3 linked regions of the Oryzias latipes genome follow. The protein of the gene in region 1 interacts with the protein of each later gene in a pairwise test. Links are inferred from orthologs where the notes say so. Each region holds a gene or a part of one and is shown in the gene's direction. Other genes may lie near its edges.

What was found. The genes of interacting proteins can lie anywhere in the genome.
Region 2: the proteins of pdlim7 (region 1) and enkd1 interact in binary tests that used the Homo sapiens proteins (3 or more experiments, as listed by UniProt). The two-hybrid records come from large-scale screens. The link is inferred for Oryzias latipes from reciprocal best matches to the Homo sapiens genes PDLIM7 and ENKD1.
Region 3: the proteins of pdlim7 (region 1) and zmynd11 interact in a two-hybrid assay, tested with the Homo sapiens proteins (2 studies listed by BioGRID). The link is inferred for Oryzias latipes from reciprocal best matches to the Homo sapiens genes PDLIM7 and ZMYND11.

Annotation. Positions count from the first base shown.
Region 1 is NC_019868.2:19,528,337-19,531,901, reverse strand, and holds part of pdlim7 (PDZ and LIM domain protein 7), read left to right. Parts: intron 1-766; coding exon 767-963; intron 964-3,565. UniProt on the Homo sapiens protein: May function as a scaffold on which the coordinated assembly of proteins can occur. May play a role as an adapter that, via its PDZ domain, localizes LIM-binding proteins to actin filaments of both skeletal muscle and nonmuscle tissues.
Region 2 is NC_019867.2:6,232,649-6,236,733, forward strand, and holds the start of enkd1 (enkurin domain-containing protein 1), read left to right. Parts: upstream 1-1,226; 5' UTR 1,227-1,404; intron 1,405-2,202; exon of another isoform or gene 2,203-2,217; coding exon 2,218-2,302; intron 2,303-2,483; coding exon 2,484-2,711; intron 2,712-2,982; coding exon 2,983-3,155; intron 3,156-3,236; coding exon 3,237-3,371; intron 3,372-4,085. UniProt on the Homo sapiens protein: Microtubule-binding protein which regulates microtubule organization and stability. Promotes the stability of astral microtubules and facilitates the proper orientation of the mitotic spindle.
Region 3 is NC_019875.2:8,102,559-8,106,625, forward strand, and holds the start of zmynd11 (zinc finger MYND domain-containing protein 11), read left to right. Parts: upstream 1-1,208; 5' UTR 1,209-1,425; intron 1,426-4,067. UniProt on the Homo sapiens protein: Chromatin reader that specifically recognizes and binds histone H3.3 trimethylated at 'Lys-36' (H3.3K36me3) and regulates RNA polymerase II elongation. Does not bind other histone H3 subtypes (H3.1 or H3.2).

The DNA of each region.
Region 1 (3,565 bases):
TGTGAGATTCTGCTTCATCTGGAGATTTGAAGTGTCCTTTAACCCCCACTTGCTGTTGGATTATACAGTGTGTCATGTTAGTTTGTGTTGAAATGAATTGGAATCACCTATGAGCACTGCATCAGCCGAGCACCAGTGAGCTGCTAAACGAGTCGTGCGCTTGGCGTAGTTTTGTTTTGAGAAATTCTCGTCTTCTTTTGTTCTGCCTTGTGCAATCCCCCATTACCAGCGAGCGATGTCGCCTTCGGTTTCTCTTTTTTTTCCACACTTTCACAGCTACTTGCCTGATGAACTGCACTTTCATAAGTACAATAGTGTCATGAACTCCTTGAACTGATGCAAACTGCTATTAGTCAAAGCAGCTGGCACGAGCCTGCATAAAACCAGTGTTCCATTTTAATAGAAGTTGTTCTGCAGTGTGTGCATAATGCTCAGTGAGGAATCTCATTAGTGGGACATGCCAGTTCTAGACGAATATTTTATCTGCTGCAGCAGGTTACTTTGGCCCGTCGTTGGCTGACAGCCAGCACAAATAAACAGCAGCGTTCACTACTGAAGCTCTTCGTCTGTGCAGAGGAAAAGATGGCCGGTTTGCACAGTGTTGTAATCTTTTGCTACGAGAGGAGACTGGAAAGGTTGGGGATTGTGCAACAGCAGAACTTTTTTTTGTGTGTGCCATGAGTTTTAACTGCATGTTGTGCTCTGTGCTGCTTTGTGTACTTTTTTCTTTTTTTTTTCTTTCCTCCCTTCCCCGACACTCCCACAGGATTCACACACGGCAGGTTCTGCTCAGCCAAAGTACTCCTTTGCCCCGAGCACAACCATTAACAAGATGGCAAGGCCATTTTCAGCAGGTGGTGGCAGTGCCAGCTCAGGACCCGTTATTAAACCTGTGGCCTATTCGCCTAAACTTAACACCCCGCACTCACAGGGCAATGCCAGCACACAGCAGCCACAGAATGGGTAGGTGGAAAAAAGAAAATCAGAGCTGCAATTTGACTAATGTGGTTTTAATGATGTTTTGAAGTCTCGTTATTCTGGCTTCTCGTTAAGAAGAGAAAATGACTCCTTTAGGGTTTAAAGGCTGGGGTTCACTGTTGCCAAAATAATGTCATATGATGAGAATATACAGAAAAAATCTCTAAATGTAAATATATGCTGAGATCAGCGTATTTTGGCACAACAGGATGAAAAAAAAGATGAATGAAACCAACCTTTGTCCATCTATAAACAAAAAAGTAAAACTTTGTGACAAGAATATTAGAACTTTGCTCTTAAACCCATAAATGTGTTTATGGTAGGTCTTTAGAATTCAGCAAAAAGCCTATTATGTCCTAAAATAATGCACACATTACTCTGTGAGGGGGAGAATGAAAAATGGAGAAATGTAATATTGATTTTGAACTGCAGAACAATGCATCACACAAGACGCTACTTTGAGAAATGCTCTTGCTTAACACACCCTCCTCTTTGTGAACAATTTATTTTAACAGATGGGGTTATTGATTATTACTTTCATCTGTAATCACCTGTAATGACAGAGAAAAATATGAAAATTGAGTTTCAAGTTCTTTGAAGAAACCTTCTGAACTTTTTTATTGAATTGTTTTTGGCTTTTAGAAATGTTTACTTCAAAAAAACCAAAGTAATATTAAAGCTAAAGGTTATATCTCTATTATACCATGGTCCGGTTGAATACTCGATTCTGATTGGCTGCTGGGTATGCGTAAAAACCTGATAACCGCACGGTGAAAAAAGAAGTCCCGGTCGGCTAGCTTAAATGATTTGTATCACTGCGCCGGCTTCTGTAAAACAACCTTTTGCTTCATCATCTGGGCAAAAACAAGCGGTAAGCGATTAACTTTCCCTCTGAATTGATGCTTTATTCAACCCATCGGGACGATGAGCCTATATATATCGCCGAATCTTGACTGCAGCGGTGGTGCTGCGCGACGCGGACTATATGTTACGCCGCATCACGTAACATATAGTACGCTGTTTATGAGAAAAGTGATCCAAATCGGAAAAAAAACAAGAATTAAGGACTAAAACCTGGTTAATATGTATTGCTTTTGTGAGTGACCATGGTATAAGCGGGTTAATGGCCTTCGAAGTGTGCGGTTACTACTTTTTAACGCACTTCGCGGAAGCAACCGTCCGACGCGAAGGTTCAGGCTTCCACGGCGTGCGTTAAAAAGTAGTAACCGCACACTTCGTCGGCCATTAACCCTTACATAATTCATCTTATCGCTTCTGTTAAAAAAACATTTTTTCTGTTTTATAGTGTTTATTTATTTGTAAATAGGAGCTGGAGAACCTATTTGAAATAAATCAGAGTTTTGAAAGCAGTACACAGAAAAGCTAAAAGCAGCAGCTCTTTTCTGAAAAGTGCCCTCTTAAAAATAATCAACTGCTTTCCTCAAACTGGAGAACTTGATTCAATGAATTTCACACAATGATGTGCAGTCTTACACAGCTGCTCTGCATAAAACAGTGAGGAAATTAGAGATGCATGTGTGAATGCAGCTGGATTGAACTGCAGAAGTTGTAGCAACATTAGTTGATTGGAAAATTATTCCATTAGTTAATGGAAAATTGGCTCTTTTTAAAATGTATTTGTTGTAAAATTTAAAAACAAACCTTTCTAAGACTTTGTGAGGAGTGTCTCTAAACCCATCCTGAGATAAAAAGTCTTCCATAGTCCAGGCAGCATCCTATAATTTGGGTAATGGCGGTGCTCCGACTGCAGCTGCAGTTCCATGTGGTCCGTCACCGTATTTAGTCTTGCTCATAAATTCTGCCAAGTTCTCTCCATTTGTACTTGTTCGGTCCAGAGACACTTCACTTCTGTGTGTAGATGGATGAGCACGTCATTAGAGATGAGTAGAGCCTCCTCAGAACCTTGTGCCCATTTTGCTCTATTATTAGATTTTCTATAGAAAGAAGGAAAGCAGCAACTGTCTAAAGTGCCCAAGCCAAAAGTCACAAGATACATAAACATTTATTTATACATTTTTTGTTACCTTTGGACATTAGCATAAAGCATTCCAGCTGTAGAATTTGTATAAAGCTCATTTACATGCACACCAAATATTTGATTACTGTGAAGAAACTGGATTTTCTAGAAAGGACTGTATTAATAAAAATATTAGGTTGGTTCGTTCCCTTTTCAGTTTCTTACACACAGAAATAATGAATAATGACTCAGAGACAAAACTTAGCTTTTGTGGAGGTTTTACTTCGCACAAACACGAAGGGGACAGACATGAACATGGTACATTCAAAGTCCGAACCAAAGAGTTCAGGGATGGGCTTTGGTATAAAAACCCTGCATTTGCATATTCAGAAGATCGTCCAATGGACCTCGTGTGAAAAACACGCCCACAGGTTACTGCTGGAGAGAAGCTCCAAGGCTAAAGTGAAGATAAGTCTGAGGCCTGCTCAGCAGAAAACATGCACAGAAAAGAGGGAGTATGGGAAGAAACTGTTAGAACAATAGTTTGGCTGTGCTTTCTTCAAATGTAATATAATTTTGAGATGACAATACATGCTCAGTGAATTAAGT
Region 2 (4,085 bases), on another chromosome or scaffold:
TTAGACAGAAAGTGCACATGTGTGGCACTTACCTTCTATTTACTACACCTTAAGTTCTGAGGGTACAATAACAAGATGCCTTCTCCATGTAAGCATGTGTTTACGCATAGTTTGTCTTGCCATTACATAAAATCATAAGCATGATAACCTGAAATAAACAAGAGCTTCACTGACAGACAGTCGCTGTGTCAGGTTGATGAGGTGCTCACAGCTCCAGACCAAAAAAAAAAATTTCAAAATATTCATGGCATCACGCCCCCTAGTCCCACAAGTGACAGTGTGTTTTTGTGAGCATTCTCTCCACCTCTGGTTTCAAATGGTGGTAACAGCCTGCAGCGTTCAACCCCACATTTTAAAGTTAAGACCTCCAGTCCCCTGTGTCACATAGTTCAGATGTTTGATCAACCAGTAAGACACGTTGGGATTTTTTTCACCTTTTTGTTGGAGCATGCATATATTCATGATGAGAGTTAATGAGCGACTAAACAGGTTTAAACTTCACGTTCTACTTCAGCCACCGCAGGCCTGGATCTGGTTTGTGTTGCTGCGGTTCTCCCACCCTAATGTCTGAGTGGCTCATTTCAGCCTCGACCCTTAAAAAAACTGTTGTCAACTAGAAAGTCCTGCGCGCAGACGGACGAGATGATTTAGAAATAAAAGAATCTTCCAGACAAAGCGTGGACCTACCTTTGTCTTTAAAGCAACGGACTGTGCACACTTTAGCAGCGCTGTTATGTGCAGCTGGACACGGTGAAGGAGAAAGCACAGGCGGCACCACTGCGCATGCGTCGTAAAACCCTCACCGAGGGCGGGGCCCTTGTACAATTGACATTGAGCAAAACATATTTAATGAATATATATATATATATATATATATATATATATATATGTATTCGTGTTTTATGAATCTATCTATCTATCTGTCTGTCTGAAGACCAACATTTTATTTTAAGATAGAATTACTGAAAAAAAAAACATTTAGTCAGTTGTGATGTGGTACGGAGCCACGTAGTACGGTGACCTGACATGTCATGTGGAATGCTGTATAGCAGTAAAATCGAGTTTTCTCGTTGCCTTACAGACGAAACTCAGGGAAAGGAATATATGTTACCAAGTCACGACAGAAATACACCTGCCAAAGCTATCAGCAAAAAAACAGGCCAATCAAAATCCATGCTATAATACTACTTCTTTATACTGTAAATAATATGCAGGCGAATCTTCATTATAATTTCGGAATTTGTCATTTACAGTAAGGTTTTATGGGTATCAGCCCTCTTCCTCGATGTTCGACCTTTGTGCGCATGCTCCGTTGCCATAGTGACGACTTATACAGCCCCACAAGTGGTTGATACCAGAGCGTCATCGAAGAAAACCCTAATCCTTTAACGAGACATTTAAAAGGTAAACAGTGTATACTGATTTTAGTGAGCGGTTTATTTTTGATTAACGTTACCGATAAGCGTGTTTTATATTTCTCCTTGCATGCTTGTTTGTATTAGTTCTTGTTCGAGCTAAGTAGCGTATTTTAGAACCAGCTAATAAACAATAGCTGTTCACTTAACAGAAATATATGTGAGGATAAGGGCGCAACAAACAAAAGCAAGAAAACCTTTTAGCTTTAATATACAAGATAATCGATGCTCTATATGAAAGATGATATTGAAAATAAAAATGATTCCAATTTGGTAAAGACAAATCTTGAATGTTATATATAGGTGGCTTTCAACAAAGAAGACAATTCCAACATTAACACACTTTAACATTCAGTTCGGTTGTATTATAATTTATATGATAATTAGAATAAAAATATTGTTATTTTAGATTAATTTAATGCCAATCTTTTAAAAACACACCTATTTTTCCTCTCTTAAAAGTTGTCATATTCTGTGTGGGCCTCTATAAGAGTTAAGAAACTCTTGAATTGTTTATCGGTTTATCTGGGTTTATGCCCTCATTTCTCTTGATTTTATTTCTACAATTTTATTTAATGCTAACTTTGCTTTGGATTTGTATGTTCTTCATGAAATAAAGTTTTATATTTTTTAATTTTGTCAATATGAGGTTGGAAAAAAAGCTAGTAAATGAAGTTTTTTTCTTGAAATATCTGTTTTACATCATGACTGAGAGTTGTATAGTTTCCATGATGCTTTGTGTGCAAAACATTTACAAAGATTTATTTTTGTTGTAATATTTTTGAAGTTTCTTCTGTTTTAGATGTGTGAAGGACCTTCATCAATATCTGGCCCAATTCCCCCAGACCCTTCACTGTTTCCTCAATACTACCAACGACCAGCTTCAGGTTAGAAGCACCCAAGCATAGAAAAATACAGGTGTAATGTGCATTTGTCTGTTAACTGTTTTTTTTAATGCCACTTTTTTTTTCTTAATTAAAAAACATTTTCCTAAATGTATATTGAGCATTTTATATTTTCTTCATTTTGGATTAAAATGGCATCATCTTGTTGACTTGATTCTTTCAGCTCGTGGTCGTTTAGAGGGGAACCATGCTGGAACTCTGGGCCTTTTCTTGGGCCCCTTTGCTCCTGATCCTGTTGTGTTCCCAGGCTGCTATAGCTCTCGTACAGCAGTCCACCACCGTCCACGCATTGGCCCCAACGCAGCCCATATTCTGGAACGGGGTCGGAAAGGCGTCGTGGGAGAACTGATGAAACTAGACAACGTCTCAGTCAGTCCTGCTCCAAAACCGAGTAAGTGAAGCTGCTTTATAATCCATTGATATTTCATTGTATTTAAACAGCTGTGTATTGGAACGCAGCTGTGCTTTTTCCATCTATTTAAGTCAAAACCAGTGCTTTTTTAAACTTGTTTTAAGATTTATCAGATTTGTTGTAAATATAAGAATCTCAAAGGTAACTAAAACAATATTTGTGCACTACTTTTAACTGGATGGTAGTAAATTTGGCTAATAATAAAAGATAAAACTATTATTTGGCTAACTTTTGTTGCTTGACCCTGCAGAACAGAGAGTGCATGACTTTGGTAAAGAAAACGTACGCCGGCTGAAGGAGATTCAGAAACGCTGCAAAGAGCAGGAGGCTGAGAAAGCCCAGGCCCGTCCTGTTCCAGTGAAAGCTTTGTGGACTGCTCCAAAATACCAACATGTGTCTTCCAGGGTGCTGGCCCAGCTAGAGGCAAGGACTACTCTTATTTGTCATGAATGTAACGCTTTTGAGCTTTTCTACATGAAAGTGCGATCTGTTCCCCTCATGTAGAGTTCTACACCTACGGTAAAACCACAGTGTCAAAACTTCCTCAAGGCCCACTCTAATGGCAGTTATGCTGCACCATCAGTACCTTCACTTGCTTTCAAAAATTCATGCAACTCTGCGCAGGATCAGGACTTGAAGGTAAAAGATTAAGAGTAACTTTGTAAACATGTAATATTCCTATTTTTTCTACTGTGACATTTTAGTTTATAAACACATTTGGCAACATTTCTGGACAGAAATGGTCATTTTAGAGGACATGTGCGAGTGCTATAGTTAAGCCTTTATATTAAATAACATCCATGTATATGGTAAAATATTACTGGGAACAGACAATGGAATGATTTTTTAATCAAATATGAGTTATTTCCCTGAGCTTTACTTCCCAACCCGGAAGTAAGACGACCCGATCGCTGAGGCACCGGCTTTTGCTCCTCGTGGGTGCAGCCCATTTCATTACGTCATCCACCGGTGTCAGCAATTGTTTATTAAAAAAAAACAACCTCCAAACTTTTGCAAAGATGGATGTGCATAATGTGCATATAAAAGGAAATCACATATAAATATCATATAAAAGCTGATCACCGCTAGCTCCGCTGAGAAAGTGGGTGGGTGGGTGTGTTAGCTTGGGGCCGGAGGTGGCAGCATAGATTCTTCCTGGAAGGGACTGTTCTCACTGGTCTGTGTCAGCTCAAGAGAGACCAATTGTTTTTGTGGGTTTCGAGAGGCTGGTGCTCCGAACACAGAGTATTAGAGGAGTACTCAGAAATGCTTGAACAGAGCAAAATACCGCTTTGGGTTTTTTTTTTTTGTGAGGAATTAACATTATAATTCTAAAAAAAATGATTTTGCATG
Region 3 (4,067 bases), on another chromosome or scaffold:
TCTTAATCTAAAGCTTTTGTCATGTAAAATAACCACCCAAAGCACCTGGAATCTGCAGTCCTTCTGAACAATTGGGAACAATGTCACATGATCCCCCACACAGAAAACAACAATAAGCCATTAACAGGAATGCAGGGCTGATACCTGCTGTTACTGGGTGAGAAGAGGTGTGAGCTCTGGACATGATTACTGTCCATCACGGTTCAAGAAGAGACAAAAAGAACAAACAGGCATTGTTCTATGGTTTATTTAAATCACAACTCAACATGCTAAAGCTCATGTTATAGAAGACTCAGGCAAATAAAAAAACTTTTACAATTATGTCACTAACCACCACCCATCATTAGCTGAGTAAACCGTGATAGTTTGTGCAGAGGCGCAAAAACAAACAAACTACGTATTTTCCTTACAACCTCAACATTTTAGTAGAAATCTGTTTTCTAATATATTTTCTTATGTTCAATCCAGTATTTCTGCATATGCAGTTTTTTTTGACTGCCATAATTTTTTTCTTTTGACAGTAAGTCTGATAGTAAAATGAATAAATGGGATACAATAAGGATTCTATACTGCACTATAACCTAATCTAAATTAAAATTAGCCTTTTAAGCTTGTTCTCTCATTCTCAATATGTTTATTTTTTTAACTGGCAAAAACAAATGCTTTTATAACTTTTCTTTTTTGACTAAAACTTAGTTTAGATGCCCAGACATTAAAACAATTAAAATACTGAAATATAGCTTAAAGACTAAGTGAAGTTTGATATTTATATATTAGACATGATGCCACAAACTAGTTCAGTTTCAACAGTGGTGGGTAGGAACAATTCAGAATTTTATCGCAATATCTAATAATTAGTAAATATGAACGTCTTTTTTTTATTATTAAAGTTTTTTTAGACTGTATCACACGATTTAGGCTAAGATTAATTAAATAGGCTTTAGGTGGGTTTTTTTTTAAATGTTTTTTGTGTTTTTTCATATGTTGCCAGGTGCTTTGATACTTTACCAAGAGAGTTGCCAACTTTTTTTGTTTTGATTTCTAGTTTTACTTCACTTTAATTATTTTTATGTAAGGCTTATTTTACTTATGTGCATTTCCAAAAAAAAGTGTTTTCTTTATGTGTTTGTTTTTCTCCTTTCCATAATGTTCTGAACCTCTAAAACAGGGGCACCGTCCCTTTAACGTGTCGGCCGGGAGGTGCGACGTGCCGGATTCCACCACTAGAGCTCCCCGCTCGGTTCACCTGCTGCCCCTCGGCTCCGTCTGTGTTTACCTCTTTCCCCACCTCTGCTGTCCGGCGGCAAGCTGGGACACAAATCCCCGCCCGAAGCTTCGGCTCGAGAATTACTAATGTAAGCTGCCTGGTGTCTGTTCCTTTGCGGATTTTCTGCAGCGCCGTGTGCCAGTGCCGCCAAGGCGGAGGTGAGTTTGGGCTTATTCTCGTGAAAAATGGCTCGGGCTCAATGACAACACTGCGGGTGCTAGCACCGTTAGCTTAGCCGCGAATCCTGCTCCAATCTCGTGATGGATGATAGTGAACATGGCGCCTTCCAAAACTGACATGTCTTTATATATAACTAGTTTCTGTTTTATTGACAGCGTAAGATAGTTTTAAATACTTTTTATGTTAGCCATTTTCCTCCATAAATGCAAATTTATCTATTTAGTGGCATACAGAAGCTAGCTTCACGCTAGCTTCGCTACGTAACTTAATTACCTAAGTGGAAATAACGATCACAACTAAACACATTTTGTGCAAACATTTGAGTAGTATAAAAGGGCAAATCGATTTAAGTCATACTTGATCATATTTTAAAACACTATGTTGCATTTCTTTGTTTTTGGCTTGAAACGTTAGCGCTGCTGCTAATAGCTACACTAAGCTAGTACCAGGCAGCCCTGTGGCCTCCTCTGCTGAGTCTTTGTTGTGAAAGATTAAGCTGTACTTCATCTTATATTTTTCTTAGGTCCTGAAAGTAAGTTTTATAACAAACCTTCCAACCCTGGTTTATGTATCTAGTGTGCGCCGCTTGGCATTACTTTTGGTGTCAGTCCTTAAGGGTTAAAGTTGAAAAATGACTGGAGCTAAAATCGCTTAACCCGAGTGGCTTTCAGGGTTCACATCGCTGCTTTCCTTAAATAAAAATTGTTCGTTTGAGATCAGATGTAGGAAAATGTCGTTTCTTTGTCCACCAAACTAGCCACAACCCCCTGGTTGGTGCTGGTGGCGTCTCCCGCCTTGCAGACTCACTGGTGTGGTCCACCTGTCATCACGTGGAGGCTTTTTGAGACAACTCATTTCGCATTGTGTACACGGTTTTCCAACATTTGTGACAATAGACATACTGCCACAGATTAATTTAACATATCAGGCAACATTTCCATCTTTTTAAAACTATTTTAGCAGGTTATCCCCTCTGTTCACTCATTTAAACGCCCTATTTCTGTAGTTTTGCGGTTTATTCCCATAATTTAGATCTTCACTTAAACCTTTTCTTTTAAATTGTTAATAAACCTTTAAAGATTGCATTTGATGTTGCAGTTTTTATAGTGAAAAGTCAAAACAGGGTAGTACAATGAGAGAATACACCAGTTGAGTTTCTTTTAAACGAGGTTTTATCATAATTTCTGACTATGTTGATGTTTGAAAGGGAATATTATTTATTTTGAGCAAAGGTAAATGATCTTAAAATGTGTCTTCTTTGTGCATTGACAATTTTTTTATGTTAAGCCGTTAAGCAGAGGGACTCATTTCTGCTCTGCAGTATGCAGTTGCTGTGGAAACAGATGGTTAAAGAAATATGAAGTATTCTTTTGGTATTATAGATTGTTTATAATCACAGAATTCACTGGATCTTGACTTCCTTTTGAGGGAAAAGAAACTTGCACACCGTTGTTGGTGATCTCACCTGCTTTATTTCATTTAACATTTATATTTATCCTAACATGTTGTGTCAAAGTCAGTCAGATGTTATCTTAGCTTCTGTTTTACCACTAAAACTTGTTATGTCTTATGTGTTAATTTAGCCTTGAAAATTGAAGCATGAACAAAAAGTCTATATTTGAGGAGATAAGGAAAGTAAACTTTTTTTTAGATTTTGTAAACACAGTGATTATTTTATTTTAACATTTTTGCATGTCTCGATAAGAAGTGGTTTGCTAATTCCTCCTGGTACGGTATACAGTTTCTTAAATCATGCCAAGTTAAAAAGTATTGATACAGAAATATGCTTGACATCTGTCAGAGCTTCATGTTCCACAAAATGAATATTTGAATCCCGTCTACGTGTTTTTTGGTTGGCTTTTTCCTGTTTTTTATGGAAGTGACATCTTAAGTTTCACAGATGGTTTGGAGGAGGACTGCATCTAATTGGATTAGAATTTCTTAAGCTATTTGTGGGAGACCAGGCAGGGCATCAATAGCAGTCAGAGGGGGTTTATTCAAAGCTTCTAGAAGGTCTTCAACACTTTGGTTTCTCGTCAGAGTGCTTCTTTCATGTCCATTTTTAGGAGGTGTGCTGGTTAAAACATAGTTGAAGACAAATAAAAGTAGATAGTTTAGAATTTAGCTTTTCATAAGCAATGGAAAATAAATATGTTTAGACATTTGCATTTTTTTTTGTAAAATTTGATTAAAACTAGCTTGGGTATAATTTCAGTGAGTGATAAAAACAATCTATAAATATGGTGATAATATGCCTTAAAATATTCTTCATCCTCTCGCATTTCATTCCCAAATATTTCCCTTATTATTGTAACTGGGTTCCAGGCTTGGGTTTTAATACTTTAACTTTGGGATATTTCAGTATCTTTTGCAATTTAAACAGGAACCCAGTAAGACTTGCTTTATGGATACCAAATTTGCTAAATTCCCTAAATTTCAACACCATGTTTGTCTAGGTTTATTTTGAAATGGAAACTGTGTTGGGTTTTTATATGAATTAAGTTACAAAGAAGCCATACTATCAATCGTTCTTCTCTTTATGCTTTATAGTGTTTTACTTTTATCCCTTCACATGACAAAAACAGTTGACGGTCATTCGATTTTGAAAACTAAGCCTTTT